Caenorhabditis elegans: one gene and its partners. The protein of the gene in region 1 interacts with the protein of each later gene in a pairwise test. Each region holds a gene or a part of one and is shown on either strand. Other genes may lie near its edges.

Region 1 (2,997 bases):
CTGTTTCAATTGGTTGTTATAAACTTGGATACGATTTATATAGTATTAATACTGAACTAATTATACACATTAGAAATACTATAGGAATATGACAAGGAAAGTGCTGGAAATTAACTCAAAGATGCATACGTTTTTGTAATTGGAGAGGTGAAAAAAAAATTACTGTTTCTAAAATATACCAAATTTCGGGTAAAAATTAGGGGGTATTTCTCGGGAAAAAAATATTGGACTAATTTGCAAAGAATCAAAATTTAGGTCCGTTTTTATAAAACTGTTATGTTTGTTACTGTATTCTAGCAACTATGTTAATATTTGATCTACAAGTCTCAGACGTAGCAAGGTAGCAACCAAATTGAATTAAGTCGGAAATGGAATAAAAAATTGGAGAAACAAATAGAATGCATTGAAAAATGGAAAAAAAGAAAGAACAAAAAATGCGACTACTCACAATGAGAAGAGAATGTATAAATGACTCCTCACAATCAGGCAGACTGTTTTTTTCCAGAAAACGACTGGGACGCTGCAAATCTAGGTCAATTATTGATATTGGGTAGAGAGAGTTCAATGCATTTCTAGGAGGTTTAGAAAAACAGACAGTGCACCTGCTCTAGGATTTCCCTAACAAAGGTCTTTTCTCTCTAAACCTCGCCTATAACACAATGTCTCATCTCATCCTGTCAAAATTTGACCTACATTTCCAGCGTTTTTAACCGAAGCCAGTTAGGCTATTGGTCATTCTTGCATTTAGCTCTCACCCTGGGCAGCTGCATTTTATTTTTCCTTCTTTTTAAATTTTTTTTTTTTTTGGTTTTTCGTTCTTTTGTTTTATCAATGACCCAGAATCTGTTTGTCTGAAAACCTTAAACTTTAAGCATTCAAAGTTCTAGTCCAATTAAAAATGTTGAACTCTCTAAAACTATAATACCTGTTTGATGCAGTTTTTATAATAAACTATTTTTGAACAAATCCCGATCGAGAAATAAACTTGATAATTACTTAAAGTTGTACCACTAATAAAACCGAAAAATCACTTTAAAATTCGATTACCTATAACCTTAAAAAATATTCTGATCTTCTAAAAACCTCCTAAAATGTAATTTGAGAAAATGTCGCAATATTGCAAAAAAAATTTAAAATCAATTCTAAATTTTGCTATTTCGAGGTGTTATCAAATTTTAGCGCAAGCCTTATTCGAATATTGCATTGGGATTTGCTTTCTTCTTTTTTTTTGTAAAATTCATATCGAGGATATGTAAACCAGTTTGTCAAATTTGTTGCTTTAAACCCCTTTGGATTAATTTAGGCTTACACTATTTCAGACCACTTTTTGATCGATAAAATATTAGGGGCCTCCTCAACAACCTTGTCGGTTGATATTAAACCTTTTTAGACAAATCGATATTTTTCGAACAAACGCAGCGTTCCATGCTGTTGATTTTGCGTGTATAACTCTTCAATCAACTTTAGATGCAATACTATATAAATCTTATCCAAATGTATAACAACCAGTTGAAACAGTCAAATTTTCTTTTTCTCGTCGCGTTCAACTTGACGGCATTTCTCATCATCTCCCTGTGGAAAACTAATCAATACTTTTTGAACAAACGCAGCGTTCCAATCGATCGATTTCTAACATTTTTTGAGGGATAGTCTGTCTGCAGAGTCATTCTATCGTTTATATCTCATTGTGAGCAGTCGTCTACATTTTTTTCTATCTTTCTATACACATTTCAAAACTATTATCTAACGTTGTTACCCGAAATTATAACAGCTGTTAGATACAGTTCTTTTTTTTACTTTTTGAAATCAGATTTTCCTACATTTTCTTAACTTAATCATCTTTCTTTATTTTTTCAACCCATTATTTTTCCAGAAACTACTCTAAAACTACCAACAATGTCCGCTGAAGTCGCTGCCGTTGAAATCCAAGAAGCTCCAGTTGCTGCTCCAATCATGTACAAAGTTGAATCAAATGATGGAACAGTTTTCGAAATCAGTGATGAAGCAGTAAAACAATCAAATACACTCTCCAATCTAATCTCTACATGTGCTCCAGAAGATGTAGCTTCAATGGATCCAATTCCAATTACAAATGTCACTGGAAACATCCTGAAGATGGTCATTGAATGGTGTGAGAAACACAAAGGAGAAGCACTTCCAGTTGATGATGACAGTGTTCCAAAGCATATCACTGTTCCCGAATGGGATACCAACTTCTTGAAAATCGACAACGAAGTGCTCTTCGACTTGATTGTTGCCTGCAACTACCTTGATGTGCCTGGATTAATGAATTATGGATGCAAGATGGTTGCCATGATGGCTATCGGAAAGTCTCCTGATGAGTTGAGAATCATCTTTGCAATTCCAACTGATGAAGAGGATGAAGCTGCTGAGAGAGCTGCAAAGGAGAAGGCTGAAGCTGAGAAGAAGGCGAATGCTGAGAAGGACGCAGCTGAACCATCGACTTCCAAATAATTTCTATGTATCAAGTGTTTTGTGTTTCTTATCAAATAAATAAGTTTGACTGTAATCTTGTTGACAAACATTACACAAAATTTTTATTAACAGTTTCAAGGTGTTGTTTTGAAGAGTTATTCCTAAAATGAAATATTCCATAGCAAGGTTCTAACACAGAATGCACTTTGACTATCTTCTTGTTGAAACATTTGGAAATTTTGAAAAAAAACATCTACTGTTTCAATATGTTGATTTTAAGAGTGAGGCTAAACAAGCAACAGTAAGTTTTTATTTAACCAAAAGCAATTACGTTTGAAAATGTCACAATTAAACCTTATAAACTAGTGTTGAAAGGGCATTCAAAAAAAAACTCGCGTATCTAGTTACTTTAATTCAAAAAATTCAAAAATACCATGCCACTTTTGCGGAAAAGTTTGCAATTTTGTGCGATGCTCAAAAATGTATTCACATATATCAATTTTTATGTTGGAACGTTTACTACCTAGCAACAAGAACTCCAGTAAGCTTCCTAGTCCTGGT
Region 2 (3,767 bases), on another chromosome or scaffold:
AAAAAGAATCAATAAATTATTTATTGTATTTTTGAAAAAGAAACAATATTCACAATCAGGCGAATAAAAAATACAGAGTCAATGAGCTACATCCATATGCTCGCAAAGTGTCCAATCCACTCGTATTCACCAACAACGAGAGTAAAGTAAAAACGAGTTGTTGAATAAAGCAAGACGTTCGCGATGGTTCCATCATGTCTCTCAATTGTAAACCTTTTTACGGACTGAACTTCTTCCTTTCTAGTATACTCGATTTCTTTGAAAAGTGCGCATTCATCAAAACGGTTCTCAGTAATGTTCCGAAAACGGATAGTGATTGATTTGAGACTGGGGATAGCTCCTCTTATCCACTGTCTTACAAGGATGTTCAGATCTTTGATGGAAAAGCTGTCACAGGTTACGATAAACTCTGAACAATTAGAGAAAAATAAATCGTCTAGGGTCATTTTTCCATAAGTGAGTTGTAGTTTTTTAAAGTTTTGCGTGAGGGTAGGTTTAGAAATTGGGCCATTTAAAACAATCAAATTTTCTAGGCAGGGAAAAATTTGAGACAACTGACAATATTTAATGTCATAACAGCTAATTATTCCCAGACTAACTACTTTTAGTTCTTTAATATGTTTCTTAGCAATTTCAAAGAAATGGAACGATGAATCAAAGAATTCCACAGATACTCTTTGATTTTGAATAAAAACTTCAAAAATATGTTCAAGCCATTTGATATCACTGAATGCTTGTACATTTAGCTTTTTAAGTTGATATCGGCCACTGATACACTGGAGAATCTCAACAATCGACTGTTTACTATTGAGAGTTAATTGAAAACCATGAAAAAGGGTTGTGTTTAGCTTTATCAATATCGATGGTCTCATAATTATTATGCTAGCCAATTGACATCTGTTTAGCATTGCAATGAGTTGTTTGATCTTCTTCGAGAGCACTGATAGAGAGATGCTGAACATGAAAAATGTAAATAACTCATTAAAATAAATTTGGAACTTGTGGTTAGATCCATGCATTTTAAATAAAATATATTTTTGCATTAATTGTAAAGGTGTGCTATTCTTTTCTATACATATATTGCATATTTTGGTAATTTATGACAACTATCTGTAAAGTTTTAATTTTAAAAATTTCGTCAGCTAGGTTCTGGAAATTCACAAATGACCATTTTCCAGATTGAAGGTATTGGCTATCGAATGACATAGCTTTCATCTTTTGGCTGTTGCCTAGACTATGATAATTCAACAATAATTCTCGTACATTCCCAAATAAAAATTAACTATAGAATACAGAAGTATTAAAATTTCTATTAAAACTCACTGTTCTACTAGGCTCATTTGTTTGAGCGTTTTTTGAAATATAGATTGAGGGAGACGAAGGATGGGAAAGGAGACGGTAGTCATGCCGATGTAAGATCACGTATAATAATAAAGATGGTACTGAGCAGATAGAGAAAGATGAGAGAGAGAGGAGAGGGAAGGGGGTGGGAGAAATGCAGATATCTTTTTGTTGGAAAATGCCACTCGCCTCCCCCCGTTCTCACACCATCTAACGAGGAGTCTACTGTAATCATACACACAGTCCCCCAGGTGTGCTCGTTTTGCAGCGTACTATAAAGACGACACATCAGACTGCAACAAGACTAATACGCACACTGACCGCGTTCTTCTAAAACGCTCTATTTTCATGTTCTCTTCTCTTTGTCTGTTTGTTCTAAGGACCATTTATCCTTTTTTTTTTATTTTCAAGCAAATTAATTTCTTTCGTTACTTTACGTCTTCTTAATTTTTTTCTTGATTTTCAAGAAGAACATTCGAAAGTTTTCAGCAGTTACAACCATTCCTTGCCATGGGTGACACAACTAGGACCCCTTTTCCTCTTCTGCTTCTACCACAAGAAATCATCAGCATTACTCTTCGACAAATGTGCCTCATTGAGCAGTGAGTTTTAATACCTTTTTTTAATTCCACACTAATTTGTTCGCAAGGGTAGGCGGCAATATACCATTTTCGGCAGTTCCAAACTTCTGCAATTCGTCAATTATTGAGTTCAAAAAGTTTGGAAAAAACTAACTTCTACTCTACTCGGCAATACGGTCTAACTTCATAGCATACTCTTGCAACTTCTTAACAACAATTAGGCATGTTAGCTTTTAAGCAAACTTCTGCAGCTTTTCAGACGACTTTTTCAATTTCTTCGCAGATGTAAAGCTAAATTTCGCTCACAATCCCGTTGGTTTTCGCAACTTCTTCGCAAGAAATACGGTACATATGTTTTAATACGAATAATTAACATGAAAAACATAAAAAATGTAGAAAAAAACTTTTTTTTTTGGTCGACTTCCAAAATTATGAGTGGCAAAAACTGAGTAATTGCCACTTTTTTGCAGTTAATAAAAAACTTTCAGAAATTTTTTGAAACGTTTTATTGTGATATGCAGCCAATGTTCCAAAAAGTACACTGAAAAAAATTAAAAAAAAAAGACATTTTTGGCAACTTACCAAAACTTTTGCTGAAACTTTAACAATCTGAAAATTTTTGGACAGTTTCATTTTGATATTCGGTCAAATTGAACTATTGAATTCATACTGAATCCCCACTGACGATTCATTCTTTAAAAAATTAATTTGGAAGAAACCCCAAAATAACAGCTTCAAGTTGACTCCCAAACCTTATGTTATTTCAGATTCTCGATCTCTCTACTCTCAGCAAAAGCGAAAACTGCGGTTGCCAGAGTCAACGGGAACCACGAAAGTGTGTCATTCTCTGATTCGACAATCAGGCTGAGGTCCAGTCTCAATGACAGATATTGTAAGAATCTTCACGATCCTTGTACTCTCCCACCGTCATACAAGAGCATTACTTTCGTATAGTCTTACAGGTCCAGCAAGTGATGTCGTAGCGGATAACATCACGGTTATCCGGCCAGAACCGCTGCCCAAGACAACGACTAGGCCTGCCAACGTTTGGAGGTCACGATGCAAGCGCGCCCCACCGGACGGCGCGCGGATCTGAATTGCCGGCGCCAACTCTAATTGTCATCATTCTCGACTTTTCTTGGCCCCGCCCAATTCCCCTATATAAGGAGCCGGAAACGCTCATTCTAGGTCTTCTCTAATTCCTTTTACTTGTGTTACTTATCGTCCTTTTCCCCTCCTTACATGTCCCATTAACTCGGTGATTTCTCTATTAATTTATCCTTAATAAACCGTAATAACCTCAAAACCTCCAACTCTTATTATTCTTTAAAGAATTAATTTGGAAGAAACCCCAAAATAACAGCTTCAAGTTGACTCCCAAACCTTATGTTATTTCAGATTCTCGATCTCGCTACTCTCAGCAAAAGCGAAAACTGCGGTTGCCAGAGTCAACGGGAACCACGAAAGTTTGACATTCTCTGATTCGACAATCAGGCTGAGGTCCAGTCTCAATGACAGATATTTATTCATATTTAAAGAAAATCCACCGAGGGTGGTAGCTAGAAGGAATATGCGAGGATCTGAAGACGAAATCGAGATTCCTCACCTCACACTTATCAAGTTCCTGGACCACATCCACGAGGTTTTGCATCAGAACCGGCAAATCCACATTAACCTCGAAAATGGGATGAATGAAGAGATAAAAACGATTTGTTCTCTCTTTGAGAACAGGAAGATCGCGAGCTGCAGCACCACATCCACGGAAGTTCAGGGGCACCATCTCTTCGGGACTCATCCAGAGAACCTGGAGATTGTCGTGGTCCCAATAAGAAAAGAACTCTTGGT
Region 3 (5,053 bases), 3.8 Mb from region 1:
AATAAATTGATTCTATAACCTTCTTGTTATTTAGATTTGATTGTTTTTCGTTTTCACCAAATATATATACAAAATCCCATAATCATTCTCCCATGAACTCACCAGTAAATGTAGTCTCAATCCCTTGCGAGAAGTCATCATTTGGTCGTCCTCCAATATGTACCTGCAAGTAAGAGCGATAATCCGCAGATCAACAGACACAACGGGTGGTCCTCGTTCATGAAGGTAATTACAACGGAACGCTTCTCAAATTTCATTCAACAATTGGAACCTCAAGAGCACTCACCACACTATGCAAGTCCAATTTTCGATAAAGACCCGTTGGAGCCGTCTGGTTAAGGAGGACACCGTCAATTGACAGTTGCACAGAGTCGAATTGATGAAGCCATCTCATCTGAAATTAGGTCACAAATGAGATTAATGATCTAAAAAATTAAGGATTACCTCATGCCACCTTCCATCATCCAATGCTTTACCAGCACTTATTCTAGATGGTGTAAGAGATCCAAAATCAAATATAACATGAACAGTTCCATGGATGATCTGTGCAATTAGTACATCTCCTTGATCAGCCATTGAGAAGAAGAATACTCCTGATCTATAGGTTCGAAAGACAACGCAAAGATCATTCTCATACATTGAGACAAGGCCTGCGTGATGAGCTTCTACGGTGTATGAAGAGTCATCAAATGCCGTGATCGGAGTGTCTGAAATAATTTTGGTGTTCAATACATTTTTTTTTAAATAAAGACCGGTTTCTGGGCCTAACCTTTTAAATAAATAAAATAAATACATCTATATTTCAAATTATCCTGACCAGACAAATTTTCAGTGAAGTTTTCATTAATTTAAAATTGGAATGTAGAAATATTTTGGTTAAACCTATAGTCTCTAAAGATTTTTCATGTCTGAAAAACTGAAAATTCAATTAAAAATATTAAAATCAAGGTGTTCATAATCTGTAGGTACCTTTCATTTTCAGGTACCTGCCCATTGTGTCGATAGAAGGCATGCAAGCAAAAACATATGTGTCTCCACAAACCTTCACTTTCATAGCTTTTCATTGGATATTTTAGACATATTAAAACATTTTGAACTTATAATTCAAATTAAAATATTTAAAAAGTGTTCTATCAGTTGACATATTTTTGATACTGTCAAAAACCAAAAACAAGAGGCAATCAAAGTCTACGGTAATTCATTTATCAGTTGCTGAACCTGTATACCAAATAAACATGCATACTTATACTTTTAACAACTCCCACTTTCTCTGTTGACCTACCATAATCACATATCGTGAGAATCAACAAAGGTCCCCTGACATCTTCTGTCGCTTGTTCAAACGCCGGAAATATGCGAACTTCAGTGGCTAAAAAGTCAACATGTGTCCACGATGGTGTATTTGATAACGTTGAATAGAGGACCTGAAACGACATGGTTTTTCATGTTTCTCTTCGCACATTAATCTTGTCGCCCTCAAACAGATGGAGGGGACACTTTGTGTTTTTGTCGGTGTCTCTAGATAAGAGATAATTCCCTTGAGGGATGGCATCGTACCAGTGGATTTCCATTCGAGAGTCGAACCAATTGAAAGTCGTCATCCGAGATGGACACCTTGACGTGATATGCAGAAATATGTCCACTGACCGACAAACGTGTCACTCTCTTTAGACCGTCTAATTTCGATGCGACGGATGAGAAGGAGACGTCGCTACATTCGCCCGAGCCTGCAAGAAATTTGTAATATTTTCTTTTGATCTTTTTTGGGTGGTGTCCAGAGACATGTGTAAAAGGTCTTTGTTAAACAGGATTATTTCGGTGTGACGAGTTGAGCCATCTGCGATGACTCGTAGTGCTAATCCAGGAGACTGGTAGGACACCCTTCGGTTATGTTTTGAGAGACGAGAAGCCACATTGCATAATACAATTATGGTTTTCGGTTAGAGCATATGTGAAGGATCAAAGGATTGAAAGAGACAAAGTGGACTAATTTAGTTATTTTCTTGTTTGAGATGGTTTCTTTAATTTAACAATTCAACTATGCACAAACGTTTGATAAGAAAAAAAAAAGAGTTGCAAAAATTTGATGGAAAGCGTCAAACTTTCACTGAATGTTTCCAAAGTTTGATAGGAAACTTTCAGTTGTTTTTAAATAGAATTTTGCCAGAGTTTAGCAAAGAGTTGAAAGAAAATTCCCAAAATTCAACAGGAAGTTTCCAAAGCTCTATAGGATTTTGCTAAAGATTCGATAAAATGTTGCCAATGTATGACAGCAAGCTCTACTCAAATGGCTAAAATTAGGTTGGAACATTTTTAGTTTGGTATACCGAAATTCAAATATCGTTCTGGTTCACAGAACGACAAAAATTTTCCAACAAAACTACCCAATTACAGAACCCATGTAAATCCTTGAGCTCTTAAGAGTATCCCTAAACCTAAAAGAATTTGTGCCACTTGAAAAGATAGAGAGCGTGTGTCCAAATTGTAGCCTTTCCGTGTTCGCTCAAATGAGTTGCATGGGGGAGGTGACCACTCGAATTCAAATTCACGAATTTCCGGTCCTCCAGAATCCTGACATCTTTTCAAAAAGTATGCTCAACGGATACTCAAAGGACTAAAGCATTTAGGATGAACAACAACACATTCTAACCGACAGATGGTTTTCCTCTCTCTCTCTCTGTTTCGCTCATTATTCATAGACCCCCACTGCTGACGATTTAGTGTCCAATGACACCTGCCGTTCATTGGTTTTTGTGGTTTTTTTGTGTCTTCTCGGTGATGCTCAATGTTTGAGTTATGGCTTTAGTTCATCTCATCCAACAAAAAGATCGGAAACGAGAATAAGAACATTTTGGGGCAACCTTCCGCTAATCCCCTAGTCGTCTATTAAAAGGGCAAGTGGTGTCAAAAGTCGCAAGAAATATAGAAATTGGTGTCCGTTCTCTTGATGGAAATGAAATTAAACGATTCCCTCGTTAGAAACTCACTTTGTGAAACTGCAAAGATGGAGAGAAGAAGCACAAGGCAAAGGCCACTCATTCGAATCCGGAGGGCATATGTGTGTGGGGGAGAGTTTTTCTGAAAAAAAAAACAGTGAGAAAGGTTTAATGGAGAAGCGTTTAGCACGAAAAAGTGAGCAAATATTAGTTTTTTACTCCTTCATTTATTGAGGATATCGATGAAATAATGAAACAGTTGAGCACACAGGGGGGGAAGGGATTTTGAAATTGAGATATTGAAAAATGCAAAAAAATTGAAAAATGCATGTTAAATTTTAATGTATTAATGTACCTGCCTATCTGCCTACTGCCTACATTTTTTGTAATTTTTCAGATATACGCATAGTGCGCGGTAACGAGGTACGAGGTAAGAGTAGGTTGCCTTTAAGGTGAGCAGGCAGGCAGGAAAATGTGTGCCCGAATTTCTGAAATCTATTATATTTTTTGATAGCTCATATCTTGCATATTTGAAATTATCAAAAAAATTTACAGTTGGTAAAATGTAGAAAAATCTTGAACCTACATTTTAGCAATTTAATATTTTTTGATAAAATCAAAAGTAGCTGAGATATCAACTGGCAAAGTGGAGCTGTAACGGTGCAAAACTATTTGGAAAAATACGAAGAATGTCTTTTCATATATTGGTTTTAAAAAAAGTAAAAAAAAAATTAAATAAAAAAAATAAGCGAGATTTTTGAATAGTTTAGTAGTCAACTAATTTGAAAAAAACCTTTGCAAATATCAAGTTTTAAAAAAGTTCAAAGCATTTGCATTCTACAAGTCGAAAAATGATGTAATAATTCTTCGAGCAATCGAGAGAAAAAATCACATTGAAAAATCACATTTTTTCGAGCAAGAAAAAAAATAAACGATTTACGAAGAAATCATCAAAATGGAGATACGGGGCGTCGGAAAAGGAAAACTGGTGGAGGGAAAAGCAATTCGTAATTCATCATCTGAACGTCTCAATAGTGGCAAAACAATAACAATTGGATGCAATTACGGGCGGTGCATTGCTTTTGAGATCGAACCTTTCCGAATAGGAAAAGCTCGTTGGCGGGTAAATGAACAAAGGATCGTCTGGGGTTGGTGTGGTCGGGAGAGGAAGAAAGTTGAGATTTCCTGTACTTATTCATAAGATATTTAAAATGACATAATTGCAGAGCTCGATGAGGTACGTTAAATTATTATTTCTTATTTTATGTATACCAAATATTGTGTAAATGAGGAAAAAAGGCTACGGTTTTGTACGTAACTAATTTAGGCTTGCCTCTCGCCCATTTTCCAAATTTTAATGTGGGCTTTTGTTAGAGAAAAAAAAAATAGATTTACGCAAGACCACCACTCTAAGAACATGCAGGCACTTTTGCACTTGTGCCTGCAATGGAAATTATTTGAATGTAAGTTATAGAAGCAACAAGTAACAGGGTAGTAAATAACAGATTTTATGTGTAATTTTGCAAAAGTTGTGAGCCAGGCGTAGGTCGCCTTGAAGGCAGGTAGGCATACATTTTTGTGGCCCACGGAGAATGGCTTACAATTTAAAACAACAACTTTTTGAAAAGTTAGCTCTTAGAAAAAAAAGTCATTGAAAATGTGGTTGACTTATAATTAGAAGAACTTGAAATTTTCTAGATTTTTTGAAGACCAGTTCTCAATTTTTAAACTTTAAAAATCTTCGCTAAAATATTTTTTAAAAATATAAAAAAGACTACGCACACAATTTGAATGAAAGTAGAAAACCATGCTCCTAAAAAATTTCGATACAAATTTTATTCAAACAAAACGGGAGAAGAGTGCTGAAAATTGCAATAGTTAGAAAAAATGTTTTTTATATTCCTATTATGATTTTTATGTGTTTTATGGGCTAATGTTCAAAAACCTAAAATTTGAGAAAACGCTCGAACTTTTCGAGGAAGAAAACACATGAAACCTAGAAAGAAATAAAACAGCTATCCTAAAAAATTTGATTGTGTAAAGAGTATTGTGATAGTGGAGAGATTAGAAGAACAGAAGTTACAAATTGTTTTCTTGGTGCACACGGGGTGTGTCTT

What was found. Proteins that work in one complex are often made in the same cells at the same time.
Region 2: the proteins of skr-10 (region 1) and W08F4.12 interact in a two-hybrid assay, tested with the Caenorhabditis elegans proteins (one large-scale study listed by BioGRID).
Region 3: the proteins of skr-10 (region 1) and nlr-1 interact in a two-hybrid assay, tested with the Caenorhabditis elegans proteins (one large-scale study listed by BioGRID).

The regions. Positions count from the first base shown.
Region 1 is NC_003282.8:15,944,911-15,947,907, forward strand, and holds skr-10 (Skp1-related protein), read left to right. Parts: upstream 1-1,896; coding exon 1,897-2,475; downstream 2,476-2,997.
Region 2 is NC_003280.10:582,475-586,241, reverse strand, and holds W08F4.12 (F-box domain-containing protein), read left to right. Parts: upstream 1-1,824; 5' UTR 1,825-1,851; coding exon 1,852-1,943; intron 1,944-2,181; exon of another isoform or gene 2,182-2,267; intron 2,268-2,689; coding exon 2,690-2,814; intron 2,815-2,876; coding exon of another isoform or gene 2,877-2,884; coding exon 2,885-3,018; 3' UTR 3,019-3,228; downstream 3,229-3,767. Other genes in the region: W08F4.13 (F-box domain-containing protein), read right to left, coding at 87-954, 1,324-1,406; fbxb-14 (F-box associated domain-containing protein), read left to right, coding at 3,493-3,767.
Region 3 is NC_003282.8:12,175,297-12,180,349, forward strand, and holds the start of nlr-1 (Neurexin like receptor 1), read right to left. Parts: upstream 3,040-5,053; coding exon 2,988-3,039; intron 1,777-2,987; exon of another isoform or gene 1,728-1,776; coding exon 1,558-1,727; intron 1,425-1,557; coding exon 1,283-1,424; intron 708-1,282; coding exon 445-707; intron 395-444; coding exon 287-394; intron 164-286; coding exon 103-163; intron 1-102. UniProt on the Caenorhabditis elegans protein: Required for gap junction formation, playing a role in anchoring the cytoskeletal component F-actin to the membrane of adjacent cells and thus facilitating the formation of gap junction channels in embryonic cells, muscle cells and neuronal cells.